3 linked regions of the Astyanax mexicanus genome follow. Each later gene encodes a partner of the first gene's protein in a complex. Links are inferred from orthologs where the notes say so. Each region holds a gene or a part of one and is shown in the gene's direction. Other genes may lie near its edges. The genes, in order: sumo3a, uspl1 and senp1.

Region 1 (7,878 bases):
TCAGCCTCTGCATATCTTCAGAACAAAGGGAAAAAAAGTGCTGCTGTAAAGTTGGTCGTCACTAAAAATGTTCCAGTACAAACCGGTTTGGCAGCCATGCTGGACTGAGATAATCTACAGACTTGTCTGTCTGTATATGTGTGTGTGTGTGTGTGTCTGTGTATCTGTCTGCATGGATTTACAATAAGAATATATTTGCTCTTTTACAGGAAAGCTGAGATGAGAGTGCGACATGATGAAATTCGGCAGAAATATGGTAAGCAGTGTCATAAGTGATGCCCCCTCACACACTGATGCTTCACTGTATGAACATGTACAGATTATCATTAAAAGAACCTTCCTCCACCCTCTATAGAAAACCACGTTCATTTCATTTAATCAGATAAAATGAAAATTGAGGTCTAACAGAAGTCTGCTAAAGAGACTGACATTCAGTAAACTGCTACTTTAACAGACTACTTTAGGTGAACCATGTTTTCATCAAATGTTAATTTTTGCTAAAATGGTTCATCCTGTCTTACAATGACAAGGTGAAAATTGCAGCAAAAATAAACATTTGACGAAAACATGGTTGACCTAAAGTTACAAACATGTTGTTTTGTTCATGGCACCCTTTTTAGTTTCAAAGATCAATTTGGATTTCCTAAAATTGTGTTAAATACCTTGACATTTTAACATGACAGCTTGAACATCTTCAGCTTTACCCCAGTTCAATATGGAGAGTGTATGAATAATATTAAGTGAAATTAATGTTATTAATTGCTGATTAATAAATCTGATATCAAAAGTTAATTTCTTAAAGGGCCAGAGTTTTCCCAAGATGACAGGGTGGGCATGGAATTCTTAGCTTAATATTTTTATAAAAAAAGGGAAATAGCTAAATGAATAATTGAAATAAATATTGTGTTAATTAACGCCTTAGAATAATTATTTAACGTAACGTGGCACGTAACTGTGGACATGACGTAGGTGGCCTTTAAACAAAAGAAGCTAAATTAGAGCTCCAATTGTCACCCCTGTGGAAGGCTAGTAAGCATATTACAACAGATATAGTGATGGTTATGTTTGTCAGTTTTGCTGGAGTGCCTCTTTAAACAGAAAAGCGCATGTTTGTAATGTAATTATTTTTAAATTAACAGTCCACATTTCCTCAGCCTTCAGGTCCACTCACATCCATTATGTACTTTTTCCCAGGGCAGTGCTAAAGTAAACATGCACTCAGAATGTGATATGGCAACAATATTTCTCTTTCTTTCTCTCTCTCTCTCTCTCTCTCTCTCTCTTTCTCTCAGGTCTCAGTAAGGCCAGCCCTTATGCCAGGTTTGAGAATGCTGCCTGAGAGGAGCTCCTGAGTGAACCTTCAAAACCTTTGCAAACTGCCTTTAATGACTTTTACTTTGATGCTGCTGTCTGATAATGTCTGATTTTATTAGCTGAGTCATTATCAAAATACTGTGCCTTTTTGGCCCTGAAGACAAAAAAAAACATTACTTAAGATTTTTCATTCTTTCGACAATTTTTAATCAGTTTAATTTCTAAACGTATGACTTCAGATTACACAGAAATGTTTTCACAGGATGTCTTCTAGTTTAATCAGTTTTTATTTTCATTTTTTAATATTATAATTAATGTAATATTTTACCCGTGACAGGGTAAACAACAGCTTTTCCTCAGCGAAATATGAAGACAATATAAGATATATAATGTAAATAGCTGAATATTTTTATGAAAATAACAAAATGAATAATTTAATTTGTTTTTATTTCACTGTGCCACAAAAGGCACCTTATACTGATAGTGACCCATTGCCCCAAACTATAGGCCACATCATACTAATAGTTTTCTGTACACTGATTTTTATGAGCTCAGAATCTTTAAAGGGTTTAGTGGAAATGTTTAGTTGGGACTTTCTTAATTTAGGACAGGGGTGTCCATTCTTATCTGCAAAGAGCCAGTCTGGCTTTAGGTTTTCATTTTCAGCCAAGGTGAAGCTCTTGTTTTCACTAGTTTGCAGACAGACCAGTTGATGAAACCAGTGTGCTGCTGGTTGTTTATAGTAAAACAATGGATTGGACACCTTGATTAAGATTTCTCTGATTTATTGCTATTTATGTTAATCAACAGCAATACGTTCCTATGTATTGTAGGTTTGACTGAGAATATGGAAAATAAAAATAAAATCTTTTTTTCTGTGAATAGCTGTGTTCCTTTTTTATGATTTCATTGTTTGATCGTTATTTTAGAACTGAGTTTGTTTGCCTTCAGAGAAAGAACAAAATTAACTACAGATAAAATCCAGCTAAGGACCAGCAAGAAGATGAAGGCGGTTGAAAAGATGGCCAGTCTGGGGAAAAACACACAGTATACTGTACGAAAACTGGTAAAGCTTGTTAACACCAACTTAGCTCTTAACCACCTTAACACAACTGACAAAGCTGGTCATACTGGTTGACTAATCTGTTATACTGGTAAACCATCTGAGTCATGCTGGTCAACCAGCATTATTATGCTGCTAATTCTAATTGACTAGTGTAGTTTTGGTGATCATCCAGCTTGATTAAGCTGCTTGACATGACTGTTTGTCAAGCCTGTTTTTCATGCTGGTCCTGGAGATCAGCCAGTAAACATATAGGTTGACTAACCTGCCAAGTTGGGAGACCACATAAATTCCCTGAAGTCCAGAGCTAAACTGGTTAATGTTTGTTATGCTTTTCAAGGGCATTAAGCAGTTGTTGACCTGTCTATCAGAATGTAAAAAAATATATATGAGAGCTTTTCAAGAAGATTAATTCAGCTGAAATGAATGAAGTGGTTTAAAAATCAGAACTTTTTCAAGATTATGATGGTAAAGTTGGGAATAAGTATTTTTAATAATATAAAACTGTGTAGCAAGTGTATAAATTAATGTACATATGTTTTAAATTATTACATTTATTAAATTATTATACATTCAATATAGGACAATATAATAAAGTCAAATGTCAAGAAATGATTAAAACAAAAACTAAAATGAATGCAAATACATAATTACAGTATACAGCATATAGTGTCTAGAAAAGGTATGTGAACCCTTTGGAATTTCATGGTTCAATTGGTAGCATAAATTTGTCACAAAATGTTATTTGATTCAGAATAATGGTATTAAAAATATGATATACCTAAAATAATTATTATATAATATATAATAATATATATATAAAATTAGAGTCAAGCATTAGCACTTGGACTAATGCTAGTTTAAAGGTGTGGACTAGAGCTACTTTGATAAAATCCATTTAAACTTTTTGATTTTGCTCTGCACAAGAAGGATACCTATATCTGAGCAATGCTGTGCCAAAAAAGAGCTTTCAGAGAATCAAATATTAAAAAATGTTGATTTACATAATGTAAAAAAACATAAAGGAATTACTAAAAGCACATTGAAGCTCTACCTTGGTACTGGAAAATATTTTATTGACAGATAACACTAAAATTAAACTGCTTTGCTGCACTAAATCTGATATAAAATGTCACTGCACATCACCATAAAAACATCCTTCCAACTTCCAAAGTAAGGTGGAGGGAATATCAAGATCTGGATGAATTCCCGAGTGTATCAAACAATTTTACAGGAGTAGAAGTTGGGTAATGCAACAGGACAGTGACCCAAAACCCCAGAGCAAGTTCACAACAGAATGGTTTAAGAAAAACAAAATCCACCTTTAGGATGGGCCAAGTCAGATCTCAGATGCTATGGATTGAATTATGTGATATTTTAGGCACAACATATTTTTCAATGCTAATTTAGATGAAGATCAGATCATATTTTAAGACAAATGTATAAGCAGATTTGTGAACCAAAGGGTTCACATACATTTTTTCCACTTTATGTTTATAATTTAATATGTCATTTGTTTATATCATTTCAATTTTTAAGAATTAGGCAACGAGTATAACTGTTGTATTATGGTATTTTTCATAAAATTGTATTAATATTAATATAAAGGCAGCAGACACTGTTTTGCAAGTTTATAAAATCATTTTACAGATTTTAAATAATTCAAATAAAATATCCGAACTTATTTAAATTTGAATTTTAAGAATTGTCAAATGTCAAGGCATGGTTGAGAAAATAACAAAAATACATGCAAATACATTATTACAGTATATAGCTTATGCTTATCAATTCATTCAGCACTTGTTAACATAATTTTTATTTACTTATTTATTTAAAAAAAACGTTTTTATTGTATTTATTGTATTGTATTTTACAGAAAATAGTTATTAAGGTAGATATATAAACAGATAATAATAACAAATATATAAAATCATTTTACTGCTCTGACATAAGGCATGGTTTGAAAATCTGGGATCAATAAATTATCATTTATTCATTATTATTATTATTATTATTATTATTATTATTATTATTATTATTATTATTATTATTATTATTATTATTATTATTATTATTATGGCGGCCTATTTGTGTGCAGGTCCAAATCGCTTGCCCCTAGTGGCGGAGAAAAGAATGACTAAATTGTTCATTAGACACAGAAAACCCACAGACACAAACGTCACGTGTAAAAAATCAATTATATTCGGTATCTATCAATAGGCCTGTCTTCAATACGGACCAGTTTAACTTAAAATATTAATAATCCTAATTTAATCCGTGGGTTTGAGCGGGGCCGCGCCTTTTTGTCTCTGTGCGCGCGACCCCGTTTTTCTTGTTTCTTTTTTTTCACTCCTCCCCCCAGAAGAAAGAGGCGCGCACGGGAACGCGCGGCGCGCTCCCGCCCAGACTGGAACACGTGACTCTGTGACGCCCAATCAGGGCCGAAGGAGGTAAAGAGAGGCGCGTGCTCGTGGCGGCCGGGCGGACAGTAGCGAAATCACACAAACACGGTGAGCGGAGATCAGCAAGAAAACCCGCGGAGAAGATGTCTGAAGATAAGCCCAAGGTGAGCCGAGAGCCGGGTGTCCGTGTGGGGAGCAAGTGTTCGGGGGAGAGGGAAGGAAGAAGAGCGCGCGCGGAGGGAAAAGCGCCGGTTCAGTGTTATATTCAGAGTGCGCTCGGCAGGCTGCGCATTTGTGCGGGAAAATGGAAGCCAGCGTGCGGCCGCGGGGTTTTTCCATTCTCCCGCTACATTTATAAAACCCGGTTATTCCGCGGGTTCTTTAAATATTTCAGGGAATTAGACACAGGCGGACGGTCGTCCATTGAAAGCGCGCCGTTGTTTACCTGCTCTGCGCCGTTTTTCCGTCGCCGTGTGAGAAGCAGCGTCGAGCTTTGCGGCTTTTCCTTTGTGAAAGCGGAGAAGTGGCGCTACGAGAAGAAGCGCAACGGGCCGCTGACTGGAATCGACCGAGTTTATTCATCATGAGCCTCTTAATTGGTTTAAATCGTGTTAAAATGCTCGTTAATTTAAACGGGGAGGGTGAAGGTGAGCGGGTTGTTTGGGAGCTGATTTTAGGTGCAGGCTTTTAGCTGCACCAGATGCGAAAATGGCGCACGGCGGCGGCGGCAAAGAGCCTCAACGACGCGTCTCCTCACTGAGAGCTGGGTAGTGTAGCGGTTAGCCACTTAGCTAATGTTAGCTACCGCCGTGTTTCAGCTCGCTTCATGTTGTTTTGTGAGGCTTGTTGCTGTAATGGCCAGGTTCTGGTGTGTTTAGCTGTAAGCTAGCTTTCACTTTATGAGGGGAGCTTTGCAGTGTGAGGCTTATGGAGGGAAAATAAGCTAGCGCCTCTCCATTTTCTCACACCCCGAGCTCTTTAGATAGCATTAAGAGCGCTTAAACAGGAAAGGGCGAATCTGCGCAGTTTCACCACTTTTTAATCGCTGTATTTAACGCTAGCTAGTCAGTTTTCGCTAATGTCTGACTGTATCTGTGGGGAGATGTTAGCTAGGAGATGCTATTAGCTCAGACAAAAATAATGGTAGCTAGCATTAGCTAACATAGGTTAGTTAACCAAGCTAACGCTAGTTAGCTAATTGAAACAACCATTCAGCCCATTCTGGGTTCATCCATTTCCTTAAGTTGCCAGTTTTTATTTCTGCTTCTCAGTCTGGTTTTCAGGAAAAGATATGAGAAAATGGTATCCAATCTACTTTTTGTCTTTCTGTTTTTGGTACATAAAGTTAGCCACATTTACTGAACCACAGAACACCTTTACCACTTTCTGAACAGCTTTTATAAACATGTGATTAACCACATCCGTCCATGGTATCACTCAGAATGGTTACCCTGACGTTTGCAATAGAACATGTTAACATTTTGTATTTGTATATTCTAACCAATAGAAGCTGCTTACATGTCTCATTGTTACATTTCCCCCTCTTTTCTCTTACAGGAGGGAGTGAAGACTGAGAACGATCACATCAACTTGAAGGTGGCTGGGCAGGATGGATCAGTGGTCCAGTTTAAAATCAAAAGGCATACACCCCTCAGCAAACTAATGAAAGCATACTGTGAAAGACAGGTGTGTGCATGCTTGCTTGTTTGTGTTTTTTGACTTTTGTTAATAGGTGGAAAAGAGATTGGTGATTGCATATTTTGCCTTTTATATATGTTTGTTTTCTTCTCTTTAATGCGGTTTCCATTGTTACTGTGTATGCATGCATGGTCTTGAGCTGCACTAATGTTTTATTTTTTGTTCTTGCAGGGGTTGTCAATAAGACAGATTAGGTTTAGGTTTGATGGACAGCCAATAAACGAGACAGACACGCCGGCACAGGTGAGCATATAAGGATTACCTTTGTCCCACAATGACTAAATCACAGCTTCACCACAAATTGTATAGATTACTTATAAGTAGATAAAATGTACAAAAATTAGCTCATGCAGTCTGAAGTGTAAAAGCTATGTCAACTTTACGCTAGCTTAAGGAATAGAATCCAGAAATTTATGTAAAAATTAACTAAACTCTAACATTTTGTTATTTATGAATCTGTCCTCTTGGGTGCCCCTAAATATTCCAGTACATTTGTTGCAGCCAACTGCTATCTTATTGGCTTAATGTCTCTCTGAGCGAATTTAAGGTTAATTATAAACTATTGTCAAAATTTGGGATTTTTTTGCTCTTTTCTCTTATGTTTATTTACTTTGATCAGTTGTATCCAGTTGGTTTAATATGTTTTCTTTCTTGCAGTTGGAGATGGAGGATGAGGACACTATCGATGTATTTCAACAACAGACAGGCGGTTCTCGCTAAACCTATTCGCGCAGCGAGCTCCCACTCGGCTGTTTTATTTGACATGTTTTCCTCTAAATGCTCTCTTTAACTGTACTGTTCATTTCCCTTCTTTGCCAGTTATTTGAAAGTCCTCCCTAGTTTTCATAGGGTGGGACCAGGTTTTTTGTTTTGATTTTTTTTTTTTTTTCTTTTCATTCCCCCTCCCACTTCACTCTTTCAGTATGTAATCATGTCTGTGAGATGACAAATGTGGCTGCAGGCAAAACTAAGATGGCTGCCCTGAGGTATAGTTCAAAATGGCCATCTGAACTACTTGTTGCGTCTCTCAGTGTGTAATACTGGCCAGAAAGTCGGGCCATAGTTGCCTGTCCCGCCATTCTTTCCATTTTGAAATATAAATGGTCTATGCCCATATTGTCTATATTCTGCAGAATGAGGATCTTCCCCCTTCTGTGTCATGCAGCTTTAAGTATCTTTTAAGCCAGGATCTATTTTATGTCTGTAAGCTGAAGAGATGCCCACCCTGCATTCTTTGTTTGTTTCTCCACATTTATTTTAAAATGAACTGCCTCACTCAAGAAGTAACAAAGGGGGATGGGATTGAAGGGAACTTTCTTCCTCCCTCAGAGGAGAACCCTGGTCCGGTAGTGTAATAAGTGGTGAGGATCAGGATACTGGACCAAACCCTGAAGAGAACTA
Region 2 (7,111 bases), on another chromosome or scaffold:
GTCAGGGTGCTTCTTCTTATGTTCCTCTCTACAGGTCTGAACAAAATAGGCATAAGAGGACATCTTTCCTCTTGGCTTCGTTGGGTCCTTCCCCATCTTCAATATATCCCTAAAACGGAAAAAGAGAGAATTCATATTTTGCATCATGTCATCCATCTGTACACGACCACAGACACAGACTCTTCACCTGAGACCTCCGTGCACCTAGTGCTTCACATTTCAGCAAAGTCTGTGTGTAGAGAGATCGCAAGATTTTTTCCGTTTCCTTGAATAAACATAAACTTGCAATGGCAACAGATCAGCTGTTTACCATCCCGATGTTGCGAAAAGCTTCATATTAATGTTTATAAAACACAAAAAGTTGCAATAAAAGCTAAAATTAAAGTAATGATAACATCGAATAAAACTAAGATCCGAAGTTGAAAATGGGTAATAAGAGTAAAAACAACCAAACTGATAAAAATATTGTGCGTGCTAATCTAGGCATAACATTGTACAAGTGGTAAAAAACTGTTAAAATGTTTTAAAAAAAATCCAATATACTGTCCACTGAAAAGAGCGATTTCTTCTATGTACTCATATATAGCAATGGCGCACAGGCTGTCTTGTTGAGGGAAAGGAGGTCAACAACGACAGCAATATTTCTCCTTCCATTTTGTGAGAAAGCCTTCTTCATGAAAGAAAGTCCTCCTAAAATGTCTCCACCCGCCTTCCTGTTCGCTTTTTAATTCGACAAATAACGGCGAAAGTCGGTGTTCTTGACAAAATTTCTCCTTCATAAAACCCTATGCACTCGCCCGGTGTATAGTAATACACTAGGTCTGTAGTAAGTCTATGTACGGGCTGTGTAGAGTTTGCTGTGGGCTCGGAATGGCCGCTTGTCTTCATCCACTAACACTGAGAATATGGCTCCTTCTCTTTGTGTCAATGCTCAGCCATTACACTGCATGCAATAGGGGGCAGAGCGACCGCGGTACCCACCTTATTTTAACTAAGATTTTAACAACGTCACTATACACGGAAAAATAAAAAAACGCATTCACTGCAACAACGAAAGATTGAATTTTTATTTTCTGGCGAAATATCTCTCGGTTAAATGCAGATACCAATAGAAAACACGGTTCGAAAAAGTTGAAGTGAACTGCGCTTGTGTCAGGCTCTGTGGCTTCGCCTTGTTTCCTATGCGAGTACAGTCAGCCATTACAGTAAAGCGCAGATCCTGAGGTAATTTTTTTCATCAATTTCTTCATCATTACACAAAAACCGATTACACGAACAAACAAGCACCCAGCGCACGATTCAGCTCATTTTTTACCTCAGTACGTTTTTTATTTCTGTTTATTTCCCACAGCCAACTCTCTTCACATGTTTGACATCTCCGGCTATGCACTGCAATGGCTAGCTAGCAGGCTAACGCTGACTTGCTAGCTTGCTAGCTGCCAGTAATACCTTCCATAGACCTTGTTTGTACGCAATTCACTCACCTAGCTTTGCACCGAACGTTAGTTTTAACGAACACATTTAATACATGTAGAAATCTGGCAGTCAAGGCTTTAAATATAATCAGAATTAGGCAAGACTGTTGTTTATTTTTTTTTACAGGAAAATGTAAATCTAGCAAAGATTACGCTTATTTCAATAAGATGATAATACACGGTCTAAATTCACGGAATTTTTTTTAACGTTTATAAAATTAAATATGCAGTTAATCTCGACATTAGATTTTGCTTAAAATTTACACAAGGTTTTCGTTATCCATACAATTCTGTACTTACCCACACTTCCAAATTTATATAGCTGACACTTTCCAAAGGCTGGTGCTGATTCTCAATGCACTGCAATGGCTGTGTGGAGGTAATAGCGATACGCAGTCTTCTCACTCAGCTCTTCGCTCTGTAACATTACTCTCAGTAGGGCTCGCATCCTATTGGCTACCGCCAAGCCGAACGTTCTGCCGATTGGTCGAAAACTTTCCATTGTCCTAATAACAGACCCACTCGGATTGGCCGTCTTTTGTGAAACGTCACGAGTGTTTTAAATGGCGGGTTAATACAAACTACGCTGTGTTTCTGTGCTGAACTTGAAGCAGTGTGTTGGTAGATACCGTGCACTGTGTAAGCTATAGCATTACTAGGTTCTGTGAGTGCCATACGGAACACTGAATCAACGGGTCTGTGTGGAGTGTGGTAGAGAGCGCTGTAATGTGATACAAAATACTGAATGAATGCGATCTGACTCCTCGCTGAACTCGCCCTCCATACACTGTTTAGTTCAAATTAACAGAGTATGTAACTGTATTAAAAAATATTTTTATATCACAGATTTCTATATTTTAGTGCCAACACGCCAAATGTGTTTTAAATAAAGTAGTATAAAAGATGCAGCCATTAACAGAACAGTTTCAATCAAATGCTTATGACTGTCCGACGTGATTAATAAACAAATGCAGAAAAATAAGATATACACCGATTATTCCTTTTTCTTTTCTTTTAAACATACTAGTTGAACTGAGTCAATGTATGGGCACTCAATACATTTACATAAAAATTAGTTTAGTTGCATTAGCATCTGACTGTTTTATTAGATTTATTAAATTCAACAAATGTTCAAAAGCATTGAGAAACCTACAATCTTTTACTGTAGAAATTTGACTGTAGGCCATTTTTGCTGAATGTGTGTAAACTAATGCACCTTTACTAAGAGAATTCACTAAATAAATTAAAAACTAAATGGTGAATTTTAAAGTTTAAGTGTACAATAATAACAAATATCAGTTAATATGTCAGGCTTCCTGTGTGCTGTCTGTCTAGCTATCTGTCTTTGTGTCAACCTGCACCTCACTGTCTGTCATCAGTTAATAGATTTTTGTTTACTGATTAATTTTAATTTCAAATTATATTAAAGCATTGTCTCTGGAAAAAAATATTATTTGTGATTATACACATGCATACAACTGTCATTGTAATGTACGTGATATCCATAGTAAATACTTTACAAATAGTTACATTTTGTTCATGTTTTCTTTGTAGAAAAAAAGTAATCTGAGTAATTTATCACAATAATTTAACACTATAGGCATACAAACAATAAATAAACAAGCTAAATAATCTGTAAAAGAAAAGAAAGGCTAGTGCATGTTAATTAAAATTTCTTGGGAAAATTATGCAAATGAATATTGTTAGGGACTACGGTGACAGCAGTATATAAGAAGCAGGGGGAGCCTGAAGGGGAGCAGTAGCCCCTCTGTGCTAATGTTTTTTTGATGAGCAGCTGCAGCAATCTGCTTGCCTTCAGAACAAACATATGCGCATGTACACACGAAGCACATGGTGTTATATATTGCAGACATTGTGTGTGTGTGTATCTGTGTGTGTGTGTGTGTGTGTGTGTTTGGGGTGCGTTGACAGCTTGATTAATGAAACACAAGTATTATACATTTTTTGTTAATTTAATTTCCTGATTGAATTGTGTTATTTGAGCAGTGTATGTATAATTAAAAAAAACGTTTATTTTTTATGTATGGGAATTGCAGTCACATTGAGGCTCTGGTCCTGAGGTTACAAAATAGAACATGAAAAATATAAAAAAACAACGAAAAATGTGTGTGTATTTTTTTGCTTGGTTTGTTTATGTAGATCCTCTTATTGCTGTGGGTTATCTGCAATACACATAAGTTACACGCGGTGGCGCTGAAGTAGCTTTTTGCTGTCGCATTGTAGATCCTGTGGTCTGCCGATTTGTAATATCTTGTCAAAATTCGCTACCATAAATTATTATGAGTAAAGCTGTCCTAATGCAATAGTGGGCGAAATATTTAATTTGGCTAAAAGCAGCATATGAGAAAATGCTCTTAGCAGAACAAAGGTAAGATATTTGGATGGCTTAAATCACCATATCAGATAGACAGGTTTATCCTGTTAATTAAACGAGGTGTGATAAAAGTTGTTTTTGTATTTTTAATTCTTCATTAATTATTTTGTAACGCACAAGAAAATTATAACAGTAAGTTTTGATTTAGTAACGCACCATTATCAAAACATCAAATTGGGGGTGCGCGCATGCGCAGAGCTGCGAAGTTGAACATGGTTGGGTAGCACATCTCGACAGAACACCGGATGTCGAACGCTGAAGTTACGTCGGGGAGCGCACACATGGCGGCTGTTCATACCGGTGTGCTGCTACTCTTAGACACGCTCATTTCTGACTCGCTCACTTTCCTGGTAAGTGCAGTAATTTAGTAATAGCTGTGTTTGATCTGCAGAACACAAACGGAATATTTATTCACCCGTTTAATATCGGCATATCTTAGATACTAACTCGTTAGCGTCCTGGTCAGCTTACCTTCTGTCTTCACTCTGTGCTGCAGCTGATACAGGTTAGGCTAGCTAGAAGCTCAGCCTTATTACCTAGTTTAATACATAACCTAAATAAATCTACAACGCTCAGAGTTTTAGGGACATTTCTGGTTATTAACTAATTGTCTTATCGATATAAATATAGTGTTATGTCCTATCGCTAACTGTTTTAGCCTTCCTGTGCTGTGTTAAACCCATAGCTAAGCTAACTAGCTAGGTTAGCTGACATTCGTGTTAAGAACAGGTTGTATTTGAAGTTTATTGACAGTAAAGCTGGGTTTTCACACACGGCAGAACCTGCAGCTCAGAACCTGCATTTCCCTGATTTTCTCCTAATATAAGATACAATTGTTTTGTATAACCTACGTTTTATTGACTTTAATCCCAGACTGATTAATCCCAGTTATTCCCCTGATAGCAAAGCTCATTGAATAACGTTAATATTCTGTCTCATTAACTACACTGATTTCCTTTAAATAATAATAATAATAAGTTAAGTTTTAAATGTTTCTTTACACACTGCAACAAGAAAGTACTAAATATAATAATGTCATAAAATAATACAACTAACACATGTAAACAGCAATGTTGAACTAGGGGTGGACGTTATGGCCTAAAATAATATCACGATGTTTCATGGTATTTTTGCAATAACGATATGACATTTAATTTAAAAAAAAAGGATTTCATAAATACAGTACTGCAACAAAACAAAATGTACATTTTACTATTGCATACGATATGAAACAGCACACCCCTAACCGAGACATTAAAAAAAATAAAAGAATTTTATCAGATTTGTAACAAAAGTCAATGATCCAGAATGTAATTATACTAATAATGCACTCCAAATATTTCCATATAATCCAGAATTAAAGTAAAATAAATTATACTGGACAGATATAATGTCTCTAGTAGATATATAATGGGAAATGAGAGCAGTGTGAATTTTTCTTTTGCTTAAAAACAGCAAAAAATAGTTCCCTGATGTGATAATTAGGGGTGGGTGATATGGCACGGTATTTCAGAGTATAATATTGTTCACAGTATAATAAAATGTTGGTGATATTTTTGTATACCATACGATATGGCACATCCCTATGTTGAACCAACATAAAATCCAAATGCACAAATAAATTGATTCTGATATCTGAGATCACTTTAGGTCAATAGAACAGGAAATATGAATGTTAATTCACATAGTATGTTATCTGGGTCTTGATTCAGATTTATTCTTGGCGTTTTCATTCTATTTTCAGTTGTATTCAGTTCTTTCAAGCAGTGCTGTTTGTCGTTACAGTGTCTGTGAACCAGCTGGTCGAGGCACATGCTTATGGAGGATTGCAGCCACATGCGGTGGATAAGGTGGTGACAGCGGCGCTCATGAACGGTGAAATCCACGGCGCGGGTTTGAAAAGCCCAGCGCTGGTGGGGTGTTTGGGAAAAGTCAGTTGTTACTCAGTTCTCCCTGTCTGTCACATGTGCAAAGCTATTTGCTCATTGCTCAAAGCTATTGGGGTGGGGGTCAAATTTCTGCAGCCCCTCAGCTGGTCAAAACAAATATATTAGTAAAAGGCGAAAGTGGTACTTTTTTGGATCTTGTGTAGCACTTTTCGGTAGTAATGAAAGTGCTTATTTTAAATGCACATCGATACTCTCTTTCTCTTGCCATGTGAGGCTTTTGAATGTTTTCCTTCAGTTTTTGTATTCTTTGGTAATTTTAACCCTGTCATCACATATTTTGTCCCTCAAGGCTGAAGAGAGAATAACTGAAGATTGCCCTTGGTGCTCTGCAAAAGGACAGAGAAGTGCTCTATGCTCATATGCCATCAACTTTAATGAATCCATCACTCTGTGCAGCAGTCCACTGGTAGGCCATGCCATGTTAACACTAGGTTTCTTTTATTGTGGTTTACATGACACACACACAAATAATATACATAATTTGTAGCTGTAATTTCATCTGAAGTATTGTATCATAGCGTTTCAACTATTCCGTTTTGGCACGCATAAGCTAACAATTAATGCTGTGTAAACAACATAAATGAAAGCTGTATTTGTGCAGTTGGTATCAGAACTAGAAGTATGTTAAGTTGCCCTTTTTGGATAATGGTGTGCTGGGTGTTTTCATATTGACCTTATTTCATTCTTCTTCCTGTGCAGTGCCTTTTTCCTCTTGTCAGCCGACCTTTGGAGGATATTCGTGCAAGTCTTTATTCAGCAGATGACAAAAAGGTGTGCAAGAGAAAGTCTCACATGTCCGAGTCTAAAGTTTCATCTCCCAAGCATCTGAAAAAAGAGGAGTCCTGCATTGTGCCTGAGGCCAGTGACTGCAGGGTGTCCAGTGAATTGTTAGAAGTGAAGCGGTTTCCTTATAGACAAGAGGAGCAGAATGTGGTTCAGAATAATATCCAGACATGCCCTGAGGCCCCCGCTGCCAACAATGAGGATCAGGTATTGTCAGATACAGCACAGACTGAGAATTGTGTATCCAGCACCCGGAAGGAGACAACTGAGACCACGTTGACAGATGGAGCTACGCAAGATTTGATCGAGATGATGCCCTACCAGCAACACTTATTCTGGAAAAATAAGGACAACCTTTGTTGGTTGGATTCGTTGCTTATTGCACTCGTACACTTTGGTGTATTTAGCGAAGTAAATTCTGGCAGTAACAGCTTTCTTAGCAAAAGTTGCCATGTGAGGAACTTGTGCACAAGATACAGGAAAACATGTACATATCTGAAATCCAAAGG
Region 3 (7,310 bases), on another chromosome or scaffold:
TTAACCAGTAATACAATAAAACATATAATAATGCAATGCAACCAAACTAAATAAACACAAAACTAAAGTGCAGCCATTTTTAGTGTCAACATTTAAAATGCACACAACCAATTAAAAGTAAATGCAGTAAATGCCAAACAAATGAAAAAAGAAAATGCTGTGAAAAATTGTCATATTTTAGGGCCATAAATCCACAAAATTAGATATTTCACTTTTCTGCATATCTCTGCATTAAGAGTGCATTAGTAAGGAACTCCCTCCCCAATCCCCAAATATAAAAGACAAAAGTTCAATATTAAAGTATTAAAAATCAGATGGGTGTACATTATTATTATTATTATTATTATTATTATTATTATTATTATTATTATTATTACTATTATTATTTTAATGTATTTTTAAAGAAACTAACTAGAATTTTTTTGCTCATGTTTTGAATGGTGCTGATTTTATCTTCTTCTACCTTATTTTTTTTTTCTTTTTTTTTTTCTTTCTTAGGTATTTTGTAAAGATCTCTTGGGGCTGGAACCTGGTTCTGCTGCTCCCGTTTCTGTTCCTCTCCAACTCCTACAACAGAACCCATATCTATGTGTTGAAGCGTCTCACAGCTCTGGTGGTGGCGACGGCGATCTGGTACATCTGCACCGAGACGTTTTTCTACATCGAGGACATCACAGGGACGTGTTACGGGCAGTCTGAGTCCGTGCAGGTCGTTCGTGAAGAGTTCAGCACGAAGGCGGAGTGCAGGAGAGCCGGGTTAATGTGGGACGGCTTTGATATATCGGGTCATTCGTTCATTCTGGCCTATTCTACGTTCCTTATCGTCGAAGAGATGGTTCCCATGCTGCACCTGGTGCAGCACAATCAGAAGAGGACAGCTGTGCTGGATGCTCTGTATGTGGCGCTCAATGCTATCGTGGTTATTTGGGTATGGATGTTTGCCTGCACTTCTGTGTACTTCCACGAAACCATTCACAAGATCCTGGGAACTGGGTGTGCTGTGCTGGGATGGTATCTGACCTACAAGGCCTGGTACCTGAACCCGTTTTCTCCGGGGTTACCGCCGCACCACAGCGACCACAAACAACACGAATAGGACTGAGAGCTTTACACCCACTTGTGCAGCGGAGGAACAAACTGACACTAAACTACGACACAAACTTTAACCTGGTTCACACCGTACGTCAGTCCATCCATCCATCTGTCCGTGTGTCCTTTTTATAGGCTGTTGTTTGTACTGCCGGGATTTGTGCGCTTGTCTCTCGGAGGTTTTCAGCAGCTGCAGGTCCAAAATTGACTCTGATTGTAATCTGAGAGAAATGCTACATGTGGTATGCTCGTCTAAGCGTCCACACTACCTATCTAATCCTTTTTGCTGCCTTCTGTACGTCGGTGGTTTTAATTGAGCTGAGTACAAGTGTGCTGCTTTATCTACGACTACATGTAGATACGCTCTAGTTCACTTATAGAATCAGAGAGAATCATTTTTATTCTTTTATTGTAAAATTAAATGCTGTGTTAAGTTATGACTCTTATTTTTTTATTTTTTGTCCCTTCATTCATCATTCAGTTATTGGCATACCTGTTATATTTTGTTTTAATATAAATTTAGATCCATGGCATCAGTATTCACACAGCAGAATGTTATTTAAAAATTTTATTGGATATGTTTTTTTTTAACAGATAAGTGTAAATATTTGACTGATATTTAAAATTGAAAATTGATATTTGATCTGTGATCTTGATTTGATTGGTTTTCTGCTGACCACATTGTATTTAATATAATAAATTTGTAACCCTAAAAAAACTAATATACTTATTTCTCTGCAATGCTTAATAACTTAGGTATTTTTTTTCTCTGCCGTGTCAACTCAGCTTAGGCTAGATTTTATGTTTTTTTTTAAGAAATAAGTAAATAAATATATATATAAGTAAAGAGTTTATTAAGGGACCTGACATGCTTGTATTTTGAATGTATAGAGCTCATAAAGGGCTCTAAAGTTCTCAGTTATTATTTTAATAACCATCAAAAAGGTTATAACAAAGAGCAACATTTGACTTACTGGCTGAAATAAAAAGAAAATCTCTTTTTCTTTAATAGATTCCTTTCTAAATGTTTTTGATCAAATGATTTCAACAAATTTTGCTGCATTTCTATTTGTCCATTTATAATAAAATTCCAATACAATGTAAAGAACAACTTGCAGATATTAAGTGCAAAAATGGCAATACAAGGTACAGCATTTTTTTGTGCTGCAGGAAAGGTCCAAATATGATGTTTTTACTTTTGGGGGTGTTAAAGCTTAATTTTCATTCTATATTAATAAAATGTATATTTATTAAAAATTGCACACAGCTTTTACCATTATAATTGAAGCTATTGTTAAACAGTGCTTGTCTGCCTGTTTGCCCCTGTTCCTCTGAAATGCTGATTGTTCTTATACAGGATTTAAAAGGACTTAAGTGCCAGGATGTTTGGCTGCTTGAAAACACTAATATTCCTCTGATACGTGTTGCCATATCTCATGCCAAACATTTCGGCGCTTGAATGACTGTACTGTGTGTACTCATATCTTGTATGTATTGATATGTTGATAATATGCACTGTGTTCCCTGTTTTTGATCATTATCTTTTAGGGATAGTTCATTTTTGTTCTATTTTAAGTCATATGATATTTGAATATGTCGAGAATTAAAAATGAAGTCCAATAAGCTGTTTGTGGCTGTTGTGTTTACTGGCTAGGGGTGGGCGATATGGCACTAAAATAATATAATATTATGATATTTCAAGGTATTTTCACAATAACGATACTCTTTGCCATATGACAAAACATTAAATTAAAAATATATTATTTCAAGAATATACTACTGTAACAAAATAAAAATAATAATTATATTTTTGCATATGAAATGATATGGCACACCTCTAATTGAGATATTAAAAGAATACAAAAAAAAAGTATTAGATTTATAACCAATACTAATTATAAGTAGTACTGATACAAATAATGCACTCCATATATCTCCATATATCCTGGATTAAAGTAAAATAAATGATACTGGACAGATATAATCTATAGTCTCTAGTAGATATACAGCTCTGAAAAAAAAATAAGAGGCCACTTAAAAATGATGGGTTTCTTTGATTTTACCAAATTGAAAACCTCTGGAATATTATCAAGAGGACGATGGATGATCACAAACCATCAAACCACCAAACTGAACTGCTTGAATTGTTACACCAGCAGTAAAGCAGCATAAAATCAGTTATCCAAAAGCAATGTGTAAGACTGGTGGAGGAGAACATGATGCAAACATGATGCTTGAAAACTGTGATTAAAAACCAGGGTTATTCCAACCTAAAATTTGATTTATGAACTCTTAAAACTTTATCAATATGAACTTTCTTTGCATTATTTGAGGTCTGAAAGCTCTGCATCTTTTTTTGTTATTTCAGACATTAGTCAGTGTATAGATAAGTTTAAAGCATTTCTATTGGTCCATTCATCAAGCAATGTTGATGCAGTGTAAGGTACAGTTTGTGTGATCAAATAAAGTAGTAAACTAAAAATGGAGATACTAAAAAAAATGGAGATACTTTTGAAGATGCTGTTTTTCACTGGACAGTGATGATTTGGTCAGCCTGATGCTTTTTTTCTGATGCTCAAATAAATTCTTCCTTCATACCAATCCATCTTTTGCCTTGACTATTATTAACGTAAAGTATATTGCTTGTACACAATGATATAGCAATGTTGATTGTTAAAGGTGCCACTCATTGCATTTACTGAACATTTTACATAAAAGTTAGCACCAAAACCCCCCAAAAATCAGCTCTGACCACACTAATATGTGGACTAAACACTAGGAGAGACCAATTATGATGCTTTAAATTATGAATTAAAACAGTACAACAAATATATCAAGTACATACATCAAGTTTATTAATCCATATAAAATAAAACAATACATCAAATATATCAATTCATATAAATAAAATATTACATGTAAGTGATTAATCTTTTGATTTTTTTAGCTTTTTTTTCCATATATTAATCCTTATTGAATAAAACAATGGAACAAATATAGTAATCCTTATGAAATAAAACAACACATAAAATACATTAATGCTTATAGAATAAAAAATACAACAAATTTATTAATTAAACTGAAATAAAACAATGCAAAACAATATATTTAATATATCACTCCTTATGTTATTTTTTTTCCTCCACTCCTCTTCTACAACACTGCAGGCGAGCCCCGCGCGTCATCGCCGCTCAGCCAATCAGCGCGCCTGACGGTGAGATGCGAGCTTTGGCCATGTCGCGGTTTTAAATGAGGAAGAAGCGGGAGAAGGTTGTCGCGCGAGCAAGTTTCAGAGACCGGGTTTATAACCGGTAAACTGCGGGTAACGGCGCTCCGGGATCCCGGCCCGGTTTCATTAATAACGGGGGAGGCCTGTGCGCGGGGAGGCCGCGCGCTGATTAACCGCCGCTCAGGCTGAGGGACGCTGTTAGCATCGCGGCTAACTGGCTAGGCTAGCTAAGTTAGGGCTTGGGGCAGCTAACGGCGGCCCGGCGGCTGTGCTAGCCTGGCTAACTAGCCTAGCTAACTAGCTAGCTAACCAGTTAACCGGTCTACCGGGCTGGAAAATGCGGCTCAAGCTAACCGGCTAACAGAGGTAATGATGCTAATTGGCTAACTAACTGCTAGCATGTGAATAAGGCCCGTTTCAGAGAGATTTAAACAGAGCGGCTCCAGGATTAAACATGTTTAATAAGCTCTACCAGTGGTTCGGGACTGGAATAGCTAACCTTCGCAACGGAGAAGCGCCCGGTGGGGATCATATCGGCACGGGGCAGCAGCAAGACGGTCCTCCCCGGAGAAAGAGACCCATAGACTGGTGAGTTTATTAGTTAGCTTAACTAGCTAACTTAGTTAGCTATTTAAACTAGCCAGCTTTTCTGAGACCAAATTAGCTAAACTAGGCTAACGCTAATTAGCTAGCTACTTTACTAGAGACAAGAATGGCTATATAATATAGGTTAAGTTAGTGGAAAAGTGTGTAATTGATAGGCTAACTATTTAACGTTAAGTTATTTTAGTCAAACTCAAGCTAGCTACCTTCACTAAAGTGCGCGGCAAAAAACTTCTACTGGAGTTCACACAGGCAAATCTACTGATATAAGCTATGATCCCTGAGAAGCAGGCATGTGTTAGACTGTGCTGGTGTGTCGCTGTCCAAAGTATCTATCAGCTTTATTATTATTGTGGGAAAATTAGCTTCTGGTCTTCACTTTATTCAGTGGTGGACGAAGCTACCAAGATTTAAAATTATAAGATAAATGTAGCTACCAAAAACTCGTCCCTTTAGATTTCCACTTGAGTAAAAGTACTCTATAGTTAGAAAGTAGTGGTGTAACGATACACTCTGCTCATGATTCAATTCAATTCACGATTCTATTATATAGTCCTGAGATTTGTTAGACATTTTCAATACAAACATTTAAAAATATATTTATTTTTAAATGTTTAACTGTATAATAGGGAGCCAGGGAGGGCCTGTGAATAAAAAAATAATTTATTGAGCAAACGATATTGCAGTTCGTGCTCACGTTTTCTTTAAAATGTATAAATAACTTCTGCTCAAGTTTTGTCAAATTCAAGTGAAAAATTTTGCAACTTCTGCTCAACGATTTCTTTATTTCGAGCAAACGTGTTTTTTATGTTAAGCGAAGTACAGATAATTAGTACAGTCTCCACCTATATTTGTTTTGTAGCTATCCACGTAACTGTGCACCACTGATAGAGAATATAGTGGATGTGTAAATGTTTGTGTCAAAGTGTGTTTGATTAGTTAGCTAATATTTTTCAATGTAGTATCTCAACAGATGTTTTGAAACTGCACCGATACACTTTACTAGTGAAGTTGCTTAACACCTTTCTGTCTTGTTCTCTACTGTTCCCTGAGAAGCAGGCATGTGTTAGGCTTTCCTATAGGCTGGTGTGTCGCTATCCAAAGTAGCTTTCGTTTTAGAACAGCTTACATTAACATGCATCTTTTTTTTCTTCTTCTTTACAGTCTGGAAGATGTGGATGGCATTGAAGAACACCGAGCTGTCAAGAAATTTAGAATGGGTAAGTATATCACTCTCCTTTTGGAACATATAAATCTGGAAAAAATACAAATAAAAGGCCACTTAAAAATGATATATGAGTTTCTTTGATTTGACCAAATTGAAAACCTCTGGAATATAATCAAGAGGAAGATGGATGATCACAAACCATCAAACCACCAAACTGAACTGCTTGAATTTTTGCACCAGGAGTAAAGGCATAACCTTATCCAAAACAGTGTGTAAGACTGGTGGAGGAGAACATGATGCCAGGATTAGATGAAACTACAGTAAAAACCTCTCAACTTGACTTGAACTTTCTTGTGTTTTAGGAGATTTTATGGACACGATGAAGAATGCGGCCGAGGGGGTGAAGACCCATGGCTCTTCTGTTGCATCGTGGATGCGCAGCAGTGTCAGCCCAACCTTGAGGAACATGCTGCCTGCCTCTCCTGACCCACCACAGACAGAATCCACAGACCTGCCCACATCTCTTCCTGCAGCCAATGCATCGGGGTCTGAAAATACTGAAAGCAAGGTATTTCACTTTTTATGGTGCACAGTATGCAAAGAGTTGGTAGGAATTAAAAAAAAAAATTAATATTGCAGTAGTTTTCAAAACTGTGGTACGAGATGCATTCCAAAGTTGCATAAACGATGCCCTCAAAACATTTGCTGCATGAACTGTATGAATATTAAAGATTAACATCTTTTAAAGTTCTCATTTGTAATTTTCTTATCATTACCTTTGTTTTATTTACTGTTTAACCCATTAGACCCTGTATGTAAGCCCACGTTTCAGTTCTTTACTCTCATAATTACTTTTATATACTATTATAATTATCTAAAATGTTTGAGAGTTGCTTAGATTTAGCTGATGTTTCACAACAAAGTAATAAATTATTGTTATCTGAATGAGCAGGGCGTAGATGATGCTGGGCTACGGTGCATGCTTCCTTTAGCATGTCTTGCACCTGTAATATAATATGCTTTTGACAATTTCAATTTAGTGAAGTTTTAAATGTTGCATGAGGTTTTATACAAATGAGATTTTTTTGTTTTGTATTTTATATGTCTCAGTTACGTCTCTGTATTGGACAAAAACATGCAAATATTTTTTGCTATTGCTTTTTTTATTTGAAATGTAAAAAAATAAATGTTTCAACGAAACCGTTTTTGTTTTAAATATGC

The links.
Region 2: the proteins of sumo3a (region 1) and uspl1 are in contact, whole or in part, in a crystal structure (PDB 7ZJU), measured with the Homo sapiens proteins. The link is inferred for Astyanax mexicanus from reciprocal best matches to the Homo sapiens genes SUMO3 and USPL1. Residues at the interface, in NP_008867.2 of Homo sapiens: Gln24, Asp25, Gly26, Ser27, Val28, Arg58, Arg60, Gly63, Gln64, Pro65, Ile66, Asn67, Asp70, Leu75, Phe86, Gln87, Gln89, Thr90, Gly91; in NP_005791.3 of Homo sapiens: Ala234, Cys236, Trp237, Pro321, Gln322, Leu323, Arg324, Met330, Glu331, Ser332, Val334, Phe335, Leu339, Tyr368, Thr378, Thr380, His393, Phe394, Gly395, Pro396, Asn398, Arg407, His421, Val423, Tyr451, Asn454, Asn455, His456, Phe457, His493.
Region 3: the proteins of sumo3a (region 1) and senp1 are in contact, whole or in part, in a crystal structure (PDB 6NNQ), measured with the Homo sapiens proteins. The link is inferred for Astyanax mexicanus from reciprocal best matches to the Homo sapiens genes SUMO3 and SENP1. Residues at the interface, in NP_008867.2 of Homo sapiens: Gln24, Ser53, Arg55, Gln56, Arg58, Arg60, Asp62, Gly63, Pro65, Asn67, Thr69, Asp70, Gln74, Glu76, Asp84, Phe86, Gln87, Gln88, Gln89, Thr90, Gly91, Gly92; in NP_001254523.1 of Homo sapiens: Gln440, Asp441, Glu446, Arg449, Leu450, Thr451, Lys455, Trp465, Leu466, Asn467, Asp468, Glu469, Asn494, Thr495, Phe496, Lys500, Arg511, Trp512, Lys514, Lys515, His529, Gly531, Val532, His533, Trp534, Gln597, Gly600, Ser601, Asp602, Cys603.

Annotation. Positions count from the first base shown.
Region 1 is NC_064412.1:39,371,670-39,379,547, reverse strand, and holds the start of sumo3a (small ubiquitin-related modifier 3-like), read left to right. Parts: upstream 1-4,787; 5' UTR 4,788-4,922; coding exon 4,923-4,943; intron 4,944-6,336; coding exon 6,337-6,465; intron 6,466-6,648; coding exon 6,649-6,720; intron 6,721-7,134; coding exon 7,135-7,197; 3' UTR 7,198-7,878. Other genes in the region: pttg1ipa (PTTG1 interacting protein a), read left to right, coding at 210-256, 1,293-1,339. UniProt on the Homo sapiens protein: Ubiquitin-like protein which can be covalently attached to target lysines either as a monomer or as a lysine-linked polymer. Does not seem to be involved in protein degradation and may function as an antagonist of ubiquitin in the degradation process.
Region 2 is NC_064427.1:14,347,988-14,355,098, reverse strand, and holds the start of uspl1 (SUMO-specific isopeptidase USPL1), read left to right. Parts: upstream 1-4,111; 5' UTR 4,112-4,220; intron 4,221-5,655; 5' UTR 5,656-5,738; coding exon 5,739-5,801; intron 5,802-6,108; coding exon 6,109-6,225; intron 6,226-6,518; coding exon 6,519-7,111. Other genes in the region: hmgb1a (high mobility group protein B1a), read right to left, coding at 1-96. UniProt on the Homo sapiens protein: SUMO-specific isopeptidase involved in protein desumoylation. Specifically binds SUMO proteins with a higher affinity for SUMO2 and SUMO3 which it cleaves more efficiently. Also able to process full-length SUMO proteins to their mature forms.
Region 3 is NC_064420.1:2,617,731-2,625,040, forward strand, and holds the start of senp1 (sentrin-specific protease 1), read left to right. Parts: upstream 1-4,297; 5' UTR 4,298-4,772; coding exon 4,773-4,906; intron 4,907-6,085; coding exon 6,086-6,141; intron 6,142-6,451; coding exon 6,452-6,657; intron 6,658-7,310. Other genes in the region: acyl-coenzyme A diphosphatase FITM2, read left to right, coding at 499-1,096. UniProt on the Homo sapiens protein: Protease that catalyzes two essential functions in the SUMO pathway.